3 linked regions of the Rattus norvegicus genome follow. The main gene of each other region encodes a partner of the protein of the gene in region 2 in a complex. Links are inferred from orthologs where the notes say so. Each region holds a gene or a part of one and is shown on either strand. Other genes may lie near its edges.

Evidence for each region.
Region 1: Celf1 (region 2) and Calr share a complex: the UniProt entries of both Homo sapiens proteins name them as parts of the EIF2 complex. The link is inferred for Rattus norvegicus from reciprocal best matches to the Homo sapiens genes CELF1 and CALR.
Region 3: Celf1 (region 2) and Calr3 share a complex: the UniProt entries of both Homo sapiens proteins name them as parts of the EIF2 complex. The link is inferred for Rattus norvegicus from reciprocal best matches to the Homo sapiens genes CELF1 and CALR3.

Annotation. Positions count from the first base shown.
Region 1 is NC_086037.1:40,212,098-40,216,222, forward strand, and holds the start of Calr (calreticulin precursor), read left to right. Parts: upstream 1-1,269; 5' UTR 1,270-1,332; coding exon 1,333-1,423; intron 1,424-1,781; coding exon 1,782-1,883; intron 1,884-2,076; coding exon 2,077-2,280; intron 2,281-3,181; coding exon 3,182-3,276; intron 3,277-3,363; coding exon 3,364-3,573; intron 3,574-3,652; coding exon 3,653-3,766; intron 3,767-3,933; coding exon 3,934-4,077; intron 4,078-4,125. UniProt on the Homo sapiens protein: Calcium-binding chaperone that promotes folding, oligomeric assembly and quality control in the endoplasmic reticulum (ER) via the calreticulin/calnexin cycle.
Region 2 is NC_086021.1:97,448,544-97,452,188, forward strand, and holds part of Celf1 (CUGBP Elav-like family member 1), read left to right. Parts: coding exon 1-88; intron 89-475; coding exon 476-603; 3' UTR 604-642; exon of another isoform or gene 643-3,645. UniProt on the Homo sapiens protein: RNA-binding protein implicated in the regulation of several post-transcriptional events. Involved in pre-mRNA alternative splicing, mRNA translation and stability.
Region 3 is NC_086034.1:17,428,757-17,432,961, forward strand, and holds the start of Calr3 (calreticulin-3 precursor), read left to right. Parts: upstream 1-1,348; 5' UTR 1,349-1,537; coding exon 1,538-1,628; intron 1,629-1,724; coding exon 1,725-1,826; intron 1,827-4,205. UniProt on the Homo sapiens protein: During spermatogenesis, may act as a lectin-independent chaperone for specific client proteins such as ADAM3. Required for sperm fertility. CALR3 capacity for calcium-binding may be absent or much lower than that of CALR.

The sequences.
Region 1 (4,125 bases), on a different chromosome or scaffold from region 2:
CCAACTTCTTGACCTTAAGTGTCATTACTGCTTGAGTTCCTCTCACTGAGAAGGAAGCACTCCATTTTTGTAAGGATTCCTTCTGTGCAGTTCCTTGTCTGTTCCAGTGTTCCCAATTCCTCAGTTTGGAAACACCTCCCATCCCCCAACCCCTACAGGTACTGTCCTTCCTCCTCCTAGCAGCAAGCAGGGTGCTGGCCACAGTCACATGATTTGAGTCAGAGGCCTCCAGATCCAAGGGTCCTGCTTATCTCCTTAGAACTCTATCACCACAGCCATCTGTGTCCTTTTTCCTTCTCAAACGGCACCCCTTGCTGTCTGCTCATAGCCGTTTAATTGCAAAAGCCAAGTCGTTTGTGGGAGACCACAAGAAGTGACTCTTTCCATTTTCCAGCGTAAGAGTAAAAAATGATAGAGGTAGGGTTACTACCTCTCACCCAAGGACACACACTTACATTCACACCGATGAGACCACTATGTTTCCTGCTCTCAAACCGTGGATAGCCCTGAAAGGTTTAAGAGCATTTCTGTCAGATAGCTCAGGGTCACCCCTGTTGGCTTCTGAGATTTCAGGGAGGCGAAGTGACTTGTATCATGTCACACAGTAGTCTGACAGGCTGTCAGGGAACTACGGGACAAGAGGAGAAAGCTGGTACATTCTCTACTGGCCTGAACAACTGGGAACCAGAATGCAGCGAAACCCCAGGATCCTGGCCCTTGACCTTATCCTGAATAGGAAAAGCTTGCCATCGGTGGGCGTTCCCTAAGTGCAGTATAGATGGAACATCAAAGTTGCAAAGAATCCTTGCTTCTTCCCTCTGACCAGAAAGGATGGAAAAAGGCCGAGACGAGACGGAGGCCCAGTCTCGGTCCCGCACGGTTAACACCCGGTACTGCTCGCGCGGATTCTTTAAACGACTTCATGGCGAGCAAGGGACTCTCACCAGCAAGGGCGGGGTTGGGCTGAGGCTCAGTCACGTGACCGCGCCTGAGTGGGCTCGCGGCCCCCACCCCAACAGGGGGCGTCCCCTACAACGCGTGGTCGACCCTGATTGGCCCAGGGTGCGGCCAATAGAAATCAGCCATCTGGGATCCCAGCGTTCCGAGCCACAGCCTAACTTGCTGAGGCGACTAGGACGCAATGAGAAGGGACAGCTGTAGGTCTAAACCAGTCAGAAGGACCGAGGGGCGGGCTCAGCGGTCGTGTCAGGTTGGGATGAGAGGTAGGTGGATATAAATTGGAGCAGCGGCGGCCGCGTCCGTCAATACCGCAGAGCCGCTGCTTGAAGATCGTTTTAAAGGGCCAGTGTGCCGCCGCCCCCTCGGCCCGCCATGCTCCTTTCGGTGCCGCTCCTGCTTGGCCTCCTCGGCCTGGCTGCCGCAGACCCTGCCATCTATTTCAAAGAGCAGTTCTTGGACGGAGGTAAGGTCTGGGCCCGCCTCGAGGCCGCCTCAGCGACTGCTGGGCCCCGAGCCCTCGGCTGCCTCGTCGTGTGTAAAGTAATTACCGTTCAGAGGGCCAACACTGTGGCCCCGGGGGGACTAGAGCCGCGGGCGGTTCCATTTGTGCGTCCTTGGGGGACCAGGAAGGCGCAGCGGTTTCCCGCGCCCGGAGTTAAGGTTCGTTCAAGGACCTGAAGCCGATCGAGGTGTCAAGTTCGAGGTTGGGATGGGAATCCCCTTCCCCACCCCCACTTGCTTGTAGCTCCTGACAGACGTTGGTTATGGGGGCGGGGGTCGGACGGTCCCGCTGATCTGACTCCTAAGCCTTTCTCTTTCAGATGCCTGGACCAACCGCTGGGTCGAATCCAAACATAAGTCTGATTTTGGCAAATTCGTCCTCAGTTCTGGCAAATTCTACGGGGACCAGGAGAAGGATAAAGGTACGAGGGAGTGGGTGCTTGGATTCAAGACAACTTCCTGGAGGAAGCTCTTGTCAGTGCACACAGCTTGTTGGAGCTTTTCCCAGGAATGAGGGAGCCAATGACAGGTGGAGGAAGGAAGGGGCGGTCAACTGTGCCCCTCAAGGTCTAGGGTATTTGGGGTCCACCTAACGACAATCCCATTTCATCACAGGGTTGCAGACAAGCCAAGATGCCCGATTTTACGCGCTGTCCGCCAGATTCGAACCCTTCAGCAACAAGGGCCAGACACTGGTGGTACAGTTCACCGTGAAGCATGAGCAGAATATCGACTGTGGGGGCGGCTACGTGAAGCTGTTTCCGGGTGGCTTGGACCAGAAGGACATGCATGGAGACTCAGAATATAACATCATGTTTGGTGAGGGGCCCCCAGCCAATGCTGACCTCTGCCGGTTGGACAGTGGGTGCGAACTGAAACCCTTTATAACTAGAATGCTGATCTTCATATCATGGAAAGCACTTGAATGATTTTTGTCCTGAGGGGACAACTAAAGGGTTTACTTTATTAGTTGGTGGACTCTATTAGTTGTAGATTTATATTGTTCATTTTTATGGTATTTTCTACATGTTTCTTAATTTTAGAAATGATGCTAATGACAGGGTCAAAGAAATCACTGGAAAAAGTGCAAATTTTTTATGTACCTGTGTATGTACTAGTGTGAAGGTCAGAGGGCAACTTTGGAAATCTCTTCTGTCATCTGAGTTCCAGGATCAAATTTGCATTATCAGGCTTAGTGGCAAGCACCTAATTTACCCCTGAGCCCTTTGCTGGCCCAGAATGGTACTCTTTTCAGATTTGTAGTCTTTGATGCCTTTAATAGGTATATTGAAATCAGGTGCCTCTCCATGATTCCTGAACAGCTAGGACTTCGTAGAGATCCTGTCTCAGGGGAAAAAAAAGACAAGATCAGGTCTTTATTTCTAGATAGCCATGGTACATTCCAGCATTCACACTACTGAGGTAGGTGAGTACTTTAAAGGCAGCTTCAGTTAAAGGTAACAGTATCCTCTGTCAAAAACAAAATAGGAGCTGGAGTGGATGCAATGGTTTCAAAGAACTGAAGTTCAGTTCTCAGCACTCAAACAGTAGCTCTCCAACTCCAGTGCCCTCTGCAGGCTCCTGTATATGCATGGTACACACACACACACACGTACGTACATACGTACGTACATACGTACGTACGCATAAATACATAAGGTTAGGTCTTTCTTCCCCAAGGGTAGAGCCTGCCATCAGCCTGCATATGCTTCCTACATAGGTCCGGACATCTGCGGTCCTGGCACCAAGAAGGTTCATGTCATCTTTAACTACAAGGGCAAGAACGTGCTGATCAACAAGGATATCCGGTGTAAGGTGTGTCTGGGGTAGTCATTTAAGTGGCTGTCACGGGAGGTCCAGGCAGCCTGGTGGGAGGGACTGCTCACCTCCTTCCTTCTTCAGGATGATGAATTCACACATCTATACACGCTGATTGTGCGGCCAGACAACACCTACGAGGTGAAAATTGACAACAGCCAGGTGGAGTCGGGCTCCTTGGAGGATGATTGGGACTTTCTGCCGCCCAAGAAGATTAAGGATCCTGACGCTGCCAAGCCAGAAGACTGGGATGAACGAGCCAAGATTGATGACCCCACAGATTCCAAGCCTGAGGTTAGTGTTGGGACAACAGCTCCACCTCCATCCTAGGGGGAGGACCCTGGGTCCCCCTGACCTCCCTGTATATTCCTAGGACTGGGACAAGCCAGAGCACATCCCTGACCCTGATGCTAAGAAGCCTGAGGACTGGGACGAAGAGATGGATGGAGAGTGGGAACCACCAGTGATTCAAAATCCTGAATACAAGGTAGGCTTGGGTGTTGAGGTGCTGCTCACTAGTAGGGTGCTTCCTTTGGTGCTATGATTGATGTCGCACCACAGGAAAAAGACAAGATATGCCTTGGGGTTCTAAGCAGGGTGGTTGGTTGTACTGTGGGATGTGTCCACCTCTGTTCATCTGGTTCTCTTCTACAGGGCGAATGGAAGCCACGTCAAATTGACAACCCAGATTACAAGGGTACCTGGATACACCCAGAGATTGACAATCCTGAATACTCCCCCGATGCGAATATCTATGCCTATGATAGTTTTGCTGTACTGGGCTTAGACCTCTGGCAGGTGAGACATAGGAAAGACAAGGGTTCCTGGCAGACCTCAAGTAGTCAG
Region 2 (3,645 bases):
GACTTACTGCAGATGTTTATGCCCTTTGGGAATGTCGTGTCTGCCAAGGTTTTCATAGACAAGCAGACCAACCTGAGCAAGTGTTTTGGTATGTTGACTTCTCTTCTGGTGTTGGAATGGGATGACGTACTGAGAAAGAGAGAAAGTAGCTGCTGACAAACTCAGGGAAATCTGGATTTGCGTTTGACCTTAGCAGATCATGACCTCTTTCTGAGCTTAGTCCTACCTGTAGCAGAGGTTGTGCTTTCTGCTCACAGTATTGGTCCAGAGGAAATAGTGTGTAGAAATAGCTTCGCTTGGGGAGAGAGAATGCTGGTGAATGTCAGGTAGTACCACTGAGAACCTAATTGTTTCCTGTGGTTGTCATTGCCAGAATTTTTGTGCATGCTGAGAACAGTTGAGATAACCTTTTGTACAGGACTGAGGCTTCTTGCTTTATTAAGTTCCTCACCTAGGTTTCTGCTTGGACACACAGGTTTTGTAAGTTATGACAATCCTGTCTCAGCTCAAGCTGCCATCCAGTCCATGAACGGCTTTCAAATTGGAATGAAGAGGCTTAAAGTGCAGCTCAAACGTTCGAAGAATGATAGTAAGCCCTACTGATCGTGCTCCCCTCTGAGACTGGAGTGAGAAGATCTTCTGGTAAGTGGGGGAGGAGCACCCTTAATCATTCGAAGCCCTAAGGCTGTGTGTTGACAGCCCTGGACCCTGATCCCTGCCACTCTCGCAGGCACAGCTTGCCCTGAAGACTCAGCTACTGCCTTCTGTGGGAGTGTCGCTTCGTACAGAGGACAAGTTTGTGCTTTGGTTTCCAGTGTTTTACTTTGGAGTTTAGGTGCCATATCCTGAGGGTTTTTGTTTTGTTTTGTTTTGTTTCTTTTTCCCTTTATTTAAAGTTTGCTGTGTTTGTAACTAGTATGTTGAGAAGGACCAACACCAGTCCACCTTGAGGAAGAGAGAAATGGGTTTAAAAGATAATTAGAACATGCCCTAAACCATGGAAAGAGAGGGCTGAGCAGAACAGAAAGTTGATCTCCAAGGTCTCTCTCCCTGGCTGCCAGGGTGGGTAGACTGAGAACTAAAGTCTGATGCGGTATGGGGCAGAATGGGTGAGATGGCTTGGCATCTAGACCCCTTCATGACTGGCTGCTTTCTGTGGAAATGCTGAACTTACGCCACCTATTTTTCTAATTTTTGTCCTGGATTTCTGCTCTTCTCTAAAAGAGGGTAAGCAAGTCTCAGGAAATAACGCACTTTTCATTTAGCCTGAAATATGCAAATAACAGGGAGATACCCATGACTAGCCAGCCTGGCCCACCATTCGTGTTTTATTGCCCTGCCTGGTTGGTGGCTGTTTGGGGAAAGCAACCAGAGAGGTCATTTTAGTTTATTTCAACATGAAGTTAGACAATGCCCATTTCCAGCAGTTCCCTTTGAAGAAAGTCTATGGAAGTTCACCACACCAAGGAATGTTGCCTCCTTCTCCGGCCACAGTTTTCTCATGAAGGCAGACCTAAGAAGCTCTTGCAGCCTTTCTAGCCAACAAGGGTGCAGTTCATGGGCAGAGCCATCAAGAAGCCATTTGATTGATGGAGGAGAGACCTGCTTCTTGGTGTGCCTGAATCAAGGTCTCTGCAAGCCACTGTGCTGTATTTGAGCAGAGCCTAGTATTCAAGAAGGTTCAGAAGTGCATTTCTGCCTCCTTAATGAAGTGTCCCAAAAGTTGTATATCTCATAAAGGTCTGACAGGCCTCTCCTCCAGCCACTCTAGCCCCATTCTCTGTCCTTGAAGGCAGAAGAGAGTACAGGAAGTTTACAGGCTCCATATGGATTTAGTGTTCATTTACCTCAGTATTAACCCATGTTCATTTTGTCATGATGCTTACAGTGAGCTCCTGCTGCCTTTCATGGGTCTTAACTCCAGCCTTTGCCAGTGTCCCACACAGCCTCTGAGCAGAGGTGGTGGCCCTATAAGTATATGATTAATAGCCACAGCCAGGGCCTGGTTCCTGAGTCATTGGAAGCTTAAACCTCACAACGTCTTGGCTCTCAGCAGCAGAGATTAGAAGGGGCTAGCCTGCTTTAAGTCAGATGGGGACACTCACTCTCCTTGTCATGCTGTCCCTGTGAATAACAAACAGGGACTGACCATCTTGCTGTTGTGCAGGAAGTTGTTAGTGATGTTGTCCCATTGATGCTGGGACAGCTGCTCTCTTAATAGTGATGAGTTGAGTCTGTTGTCCTCTTAAACACGAAACATACACTTCTTCAGCTGAACCACGTAAACTTGAATTCTGTGCACTGGGAGAAAAGTGTCCTGTGTTTCAAGATAAAACTGTTCTAAAGGCTTCCAGGGTAATGATGGATTTTTTAAAATAATGCAAAAAATAAAAAATAAAAAAAAACTTAAAAAGGAAAAAAAGAAAAAAGAAAAAAATGCTAGGTTGGGCAGGCACTGCTTTGAATCCCAACCAGCCGGAACCAAGAATGTTGTTTCTATTTTTATAGAAGTTTTATACAGCTCCGGGGTGGAGAATATTTATTACCTAAATTATATCTCTGGAAAAGGCCAGGATTTTGTAGAATCCAGAATGTGATTGTTGTACACACAGGGTGCTGTGTATGATTGAAACTACTGACTTTCTGTGACCGTTTGCAGCCCAGGTAACCTGTCCAAGGGGAAGGCTAACATTAATGCTGTGAATTGGCAGAGGCAAGAGCTGTGCTCTATAGGGTGCTGCCAGTGCTGTGTTCCCTCACCTTCTGTTCTGTCTTCCTCCTTGGCCAGAACACCACATTCTTTCCCCTTCTTCCGACTTCCCTCTATCTTTCCCATTTTTGTCCACAGATTTTGTCCTGTGCTCCAGGACCATATGAAACCTTCCTAATGATATTAGAGGCAAAGGCGTGACTCCACCTTTGGGAGTACAGGCCCCAGACTTCATACCTACTTGTGATTTCTAAAAGGAGCACTTGCTCTAGCAGAGCCATGGTCTGCTCAGTCAGCCAGCCAGCCAGCTGGGGAGACCATGTACTTCCATTGTCCCGTTTGCCTAGCACAGCAGTAGCACTGTCCTCGAGCACAGTTCTCTCCCCAGGCCAAAGATGGTTTTGTTGAAGAAGCTGCTCCCCTGTAAGTCTTGATGTGAAAGGGCTCAGCTTAGAGTGGAGACTGGAGTGAATGAAGTCTTAAGCAGTCCATTTCTGTTGCGTGGAGGTTTCACTTACAGTGTGTTTTCTGCTGTAGTTTTGTTTCGTAGATTATATCATGCCATTGATTTGCCTTCAGTGCAGCCCAACCACTATCTCCTGGGTTCCACACGAGTGGTCAGGGCTTATGTGGAAGCTTAGGGCTTGGATTTCTGGGAACGAAGGGCCATCCCAAGATCGAGCAAGAAACTCTGGCCCTCTACCTTAAATAGTCTCCCTCCCACTCTAGTTAGCATCTATTGTTGCTGAGACCTGCTTGCCCTAAGACTGTCTGGATATGTTGGGTGCTTTGCAGGAAATCCAAGCCTTAGGTTCCCTTCTGTCTCTGGCAGTCGGATGTTCTCTTGGTGTCCTTCATGTCCTTTTGAACTTTTCCCTGTGTCCATTGTTAGCATGTGCAAAAAAGTTCTTGTCATTCCCCACCCCTGCCCTTCC
Region 3 (4,205 bases), on a different chromosome or scaffold from region 2:
TCACTGTCTTCAGAAGCCCTCCTTTTTTAATGATTTATTTATTATCTATAAGTACACCTTAGCTGTCTTCAGACACACCAGAAGAGGGCATCAGATCTCTTACAGATGGTTGTGAGCCACCATGTGGTTGCTGGGAATTGAACTCAGGACCTCTGTGAGAGCAGTCAGTGCTCTTTGCTAAGCTATCTCTCTAGCTCCTCCTTAAAAAAAATGCAGTCAGTGCTCTTTGCTAAGCTATCTCTCTAGCTCCTCCTTAAAAAAATTTTTTTTAGAAAAACAAAACAGAATCAAAAACAAAATTATTTTTAGCACTTGACAGAATTTCATTTATTGCCTGTGTGCCTGTGTGTTCACCCAGAAGGAAGTCAGAGGGCAAACAGCAGATTTGCCTCTCTCCCTTCACCATGTGTGTTCCTGGAACGGAGCTCGCACCTTTTCCAATGTGCCATCTCGCAGGCTCAGCACGGTTTCTTCTAAAAGTCCCTTAAGTTCCTCTCCTGCATTCAAAAACTCCCATGCTAAAGTCTGAACAAGGTTAGTCTCCATAAACAACATCAAAAGGAAAGAAAGAAAAAGATACCGGGCAATTGCCCTGGAGTTACTATGTAAGCCTGCAATTCCACTCAGTTGCAGCCCAAGAGAAACGAAAATGTACGCAAACTTTCATAGGTCATTCACAACATACAAAACGGAAACAACCCTGATGCCTATGAACTACTGAGTGAACCATGCAGAGGGTAGGATATTACTCAACTTTTAAAACGGAGAGGAAGGGCACTGGCTTAGCCACTGCTCACAGCGACCGAATTTATTACCAGAGCCCACATGGTGGTGGAAGAAGAGAATCGATTCCTCTGACCACACGTAAATAAATGTAAAACCTATTATATATGCTTCTTTAAAAGTTTTATATATCCATGAGCGTGAGGGTGAGTGGCGGCAATCTCAGCACTTGGGTAGTGCTGCAGGAAGAGCAGGAGTTGATGGCCAGCCTCTACTATACAGAGAGGCCAGCCTGGGCTAACTGAGATGCAGTCTCGAATGACTAATAAAACACAAAATGTAAAGGCGCTAAGTACTACACACTGCCGGCACTCAGTTTCCTCACTTTTGTTAGCAACCCTACAGGATCATGCTCCAACGCCCTCCAAACGAGGAAACTCAGGTGTGTGAATGCCGCCCGTCTTCCCGCAGCCCCTGGTCGATCCAGTAGATCACTGTGAGGTCACCTGAGTAGCGGCGTTGTCCTCTGCCCGCCAGGTTTCGGCCTCAATGTATAGGCCCCAGTGTGCGGTTGCCCCAGGAGACTACGCCAGAGCCGCTTGAGACTACATTTCCCGTCGCCCACCGCGCTCCACCCACCAATAAGTGCTTCAGGTCACAATCGCGGGGCGTCACGGGATCTGTAATTCCAGTGCGCCCATTCAGCAGCCTCAGGTCATAATCCCAAGGCATGCCTGGAGTTGTAGTTTCCGAGTTGCGCCCCTCAGGCGGTACGGACGCCTGAAAGCGGAGAGTGGAAGTCTCACGTGCAGCTATGGTCCGGGCTCGCGTGTCGCTCTGGGCCATCTGCGTGCTGCGCGTGGCACTGGCCACTGTATACTTCCAGGAGGAGTTTCTAGACGGAGGTGAAGGCGATTGCCGTGGTGGCTGGCGGCCTGTGTCCACCATCTGTGATCTGGATCCGTGCATTTTGCACCGTTAACCTTCCTGTCTCTCCACAGAGCGCTGGAGGAACCGCTGGGTGCAGTCCACCAATGACTCCCAGTTCGGGCACTTCCGAGTCTCATCGGGGAAGTTCTATGGGCATAAAGAGAAAGACAAAGGTTAGTGTAGAATCGGGAGCAAATAAGAGTAGAGTTAGAAACCGCACGGCATCCTGACAGCGCACCCCTCGTTCAAGCCAGGACATTGAGGCACAATGCAGGCTCTGCGATACCCTGTTTGGGTTTTACATTAGTTTAAGATTGAGCGGAGGGTATTTTGGTTTTAGTTTTTGAGCAGTCTTATGTAGCCTTAGATGGCTCTAAGTCCCAGCCTCCCAAGTGCTGGTTACTTTTTCTTTATCTATGTATACTGGGGGAAGGAGGTTAGAATGAACCCTGAGTAAGGACTGGAATGACAGTGGAGGTGCTCAGAAAGACTCAGAAAGTGCTGGAAGGACAACTGGGGTCAACAGGAATGACTGTGTTGGCATTTTTCAGTAGTCGCCCAAGATCACTCCATGAAAATTGGAACCAGGCTGTAGCACAACCTGGGATCCTAGCATTCCAGGGACTTCATGAGGCAGGAAAAATCACAAGTTCAAGACCAGCCTGGCTATAGAGTGAACTCTGGGTCACCCTAAGATACAGCCAGATCTTGTCACAAAACAAAAAGGGGAAATCAAAATGAAAAGTGGGGCCAGCAAGATTGGCCTGTAGCCAAACTTGATGATCTGCGTTTGATCCCCAGAACCTACAGGGTAAAAGGAGAGAACCTATGCCCACAAGTTGTCTTCTAACCTTGGCACATGCCCAAACCCCACAAAATAAATAAATGTAAATTGTATTTTATTTATTTTAGTTTAGTTTTATTTGTCTTGAGCCAGGGTCTCTGTGTATGCCTGACTATCCAGAAACTCACTAAAAAAAATGCTTGCCCCTTCTGTCTCTTGAGTGCTGGGATTTAAGGCATACACTAACAAAACCGGCCAATAAATGTGTTTGTCTAACATCTATAAAGTCCTGGATCCCATCTCCAGTATAGCCTAAATGGGCCATAGTGCACATTCAAGAGAAATGGCAAAAGAATTAAAAAGGCCAAAGTTGATTTTAGCTACATTGCAAGTTCAGTGTCAACCCAGGATACACAAGAACTTGTCTGGAAAAAAAGAGTTGGTTTATCTGAGACAGGTTCCCTCTATGAAGCCCAGACTGGCCTCAAACTCCAGGTCCTACTGCCTCAGTCAGCCCAGTGCTTGGTTGGTTCACAGGTGTGAGTTACTATGCTGAGAAGTTTTTCTTTTTAAGATTTATTTACTATGTATATAACATTCTGCCTGCATGTATGCCTGCAGGCCAGAAGAAAGCACTAAATCTCATTATAGATGGTTGTGAGCCACCATGTGGTAGCTGGGAATTGAACTCAGGACCTTTGAAAGAGCAGACGGTGCTTTTTACCTTTGAGCCACCTCTCCAACCCATTGGGAAAGTTTTATTGAAGTGTCTTAACACAGATGAAGCAGTCACATCTGTTCATTTACATATTATGCACAGTAGTCCCTTGGATGTTACAAAGCAAAGAATTGAGACAGAGACCCAGTGACACCCTAGGTCTAAAGTATCCACCATCTAGAGTCAAGTTGGAGTTGTCTTGCCTAGCATGTGCAGCTGAAACACCGCAGAATCCGGGTGTGACTAGAGGAGGAGGAAGGTGAAGAGTGAGGGTTCTAAGATCCAGCTCTAAGAGGCCAGCCTGGTGGCAAAGTCCTTTAATCCTAGCACTCAGAAAACAGAATCAGGAGACTCTATGTGAATTTGAGGCCATCCTGGTCTGCATAATGAATTCTAGGACAACCAGGGGTACAAAGTGAGACCTCCTGGGGGCGGAGGGGGGGCGGATAGTAAGATAGTAATATATAAAATAATTCAGAAACAAAACTGAAGTGGGTGAAAAGAGCCCTGATATGGCACGAATGAGCCAGAGGATGTGGCTGCTGTCTGCCTACCAAATTCTATGTCTCCCTTTTGAAGAATTTGTATTTCATCCATTTCCTCCAAACCCCATTGAGCATGAAGAACAGCAGGCCTGGTACCTGGGTTCTGGAAATTGGATTTTTCCCCTGCATGGTCTCCAGGGACCATGACTTCATTGTCACGGTGGAAAGATTCAAGGAGTTCAGACGGGCTGGAGATGACAGGAGAGAATAGGGGCCCTTGGGCCTGCCTGGTGCTTGAGGTAGGCGTGGGATGGGGGATCTGAGTCCCATGAGAAAATGGAGGAGGAGGAGGAAGAAGAAAAGGAGGAGGAAGATGAAGAGAAGGAGGAGGAGGAGGCAGGATGGAAGTAGGGAGCCAGCCTTGAGCTGAGGCTTGGATGTGTGGATGAACACCCAAGTTTGGGCTACTGAAATGAATCAGTGGGTAAAGGAGCTCACCTCCAAATCTCACTCCCAGTTTGAACCCTGGTATCTACCTGTTAGAAGTAGAGACCTGATTCTCCCA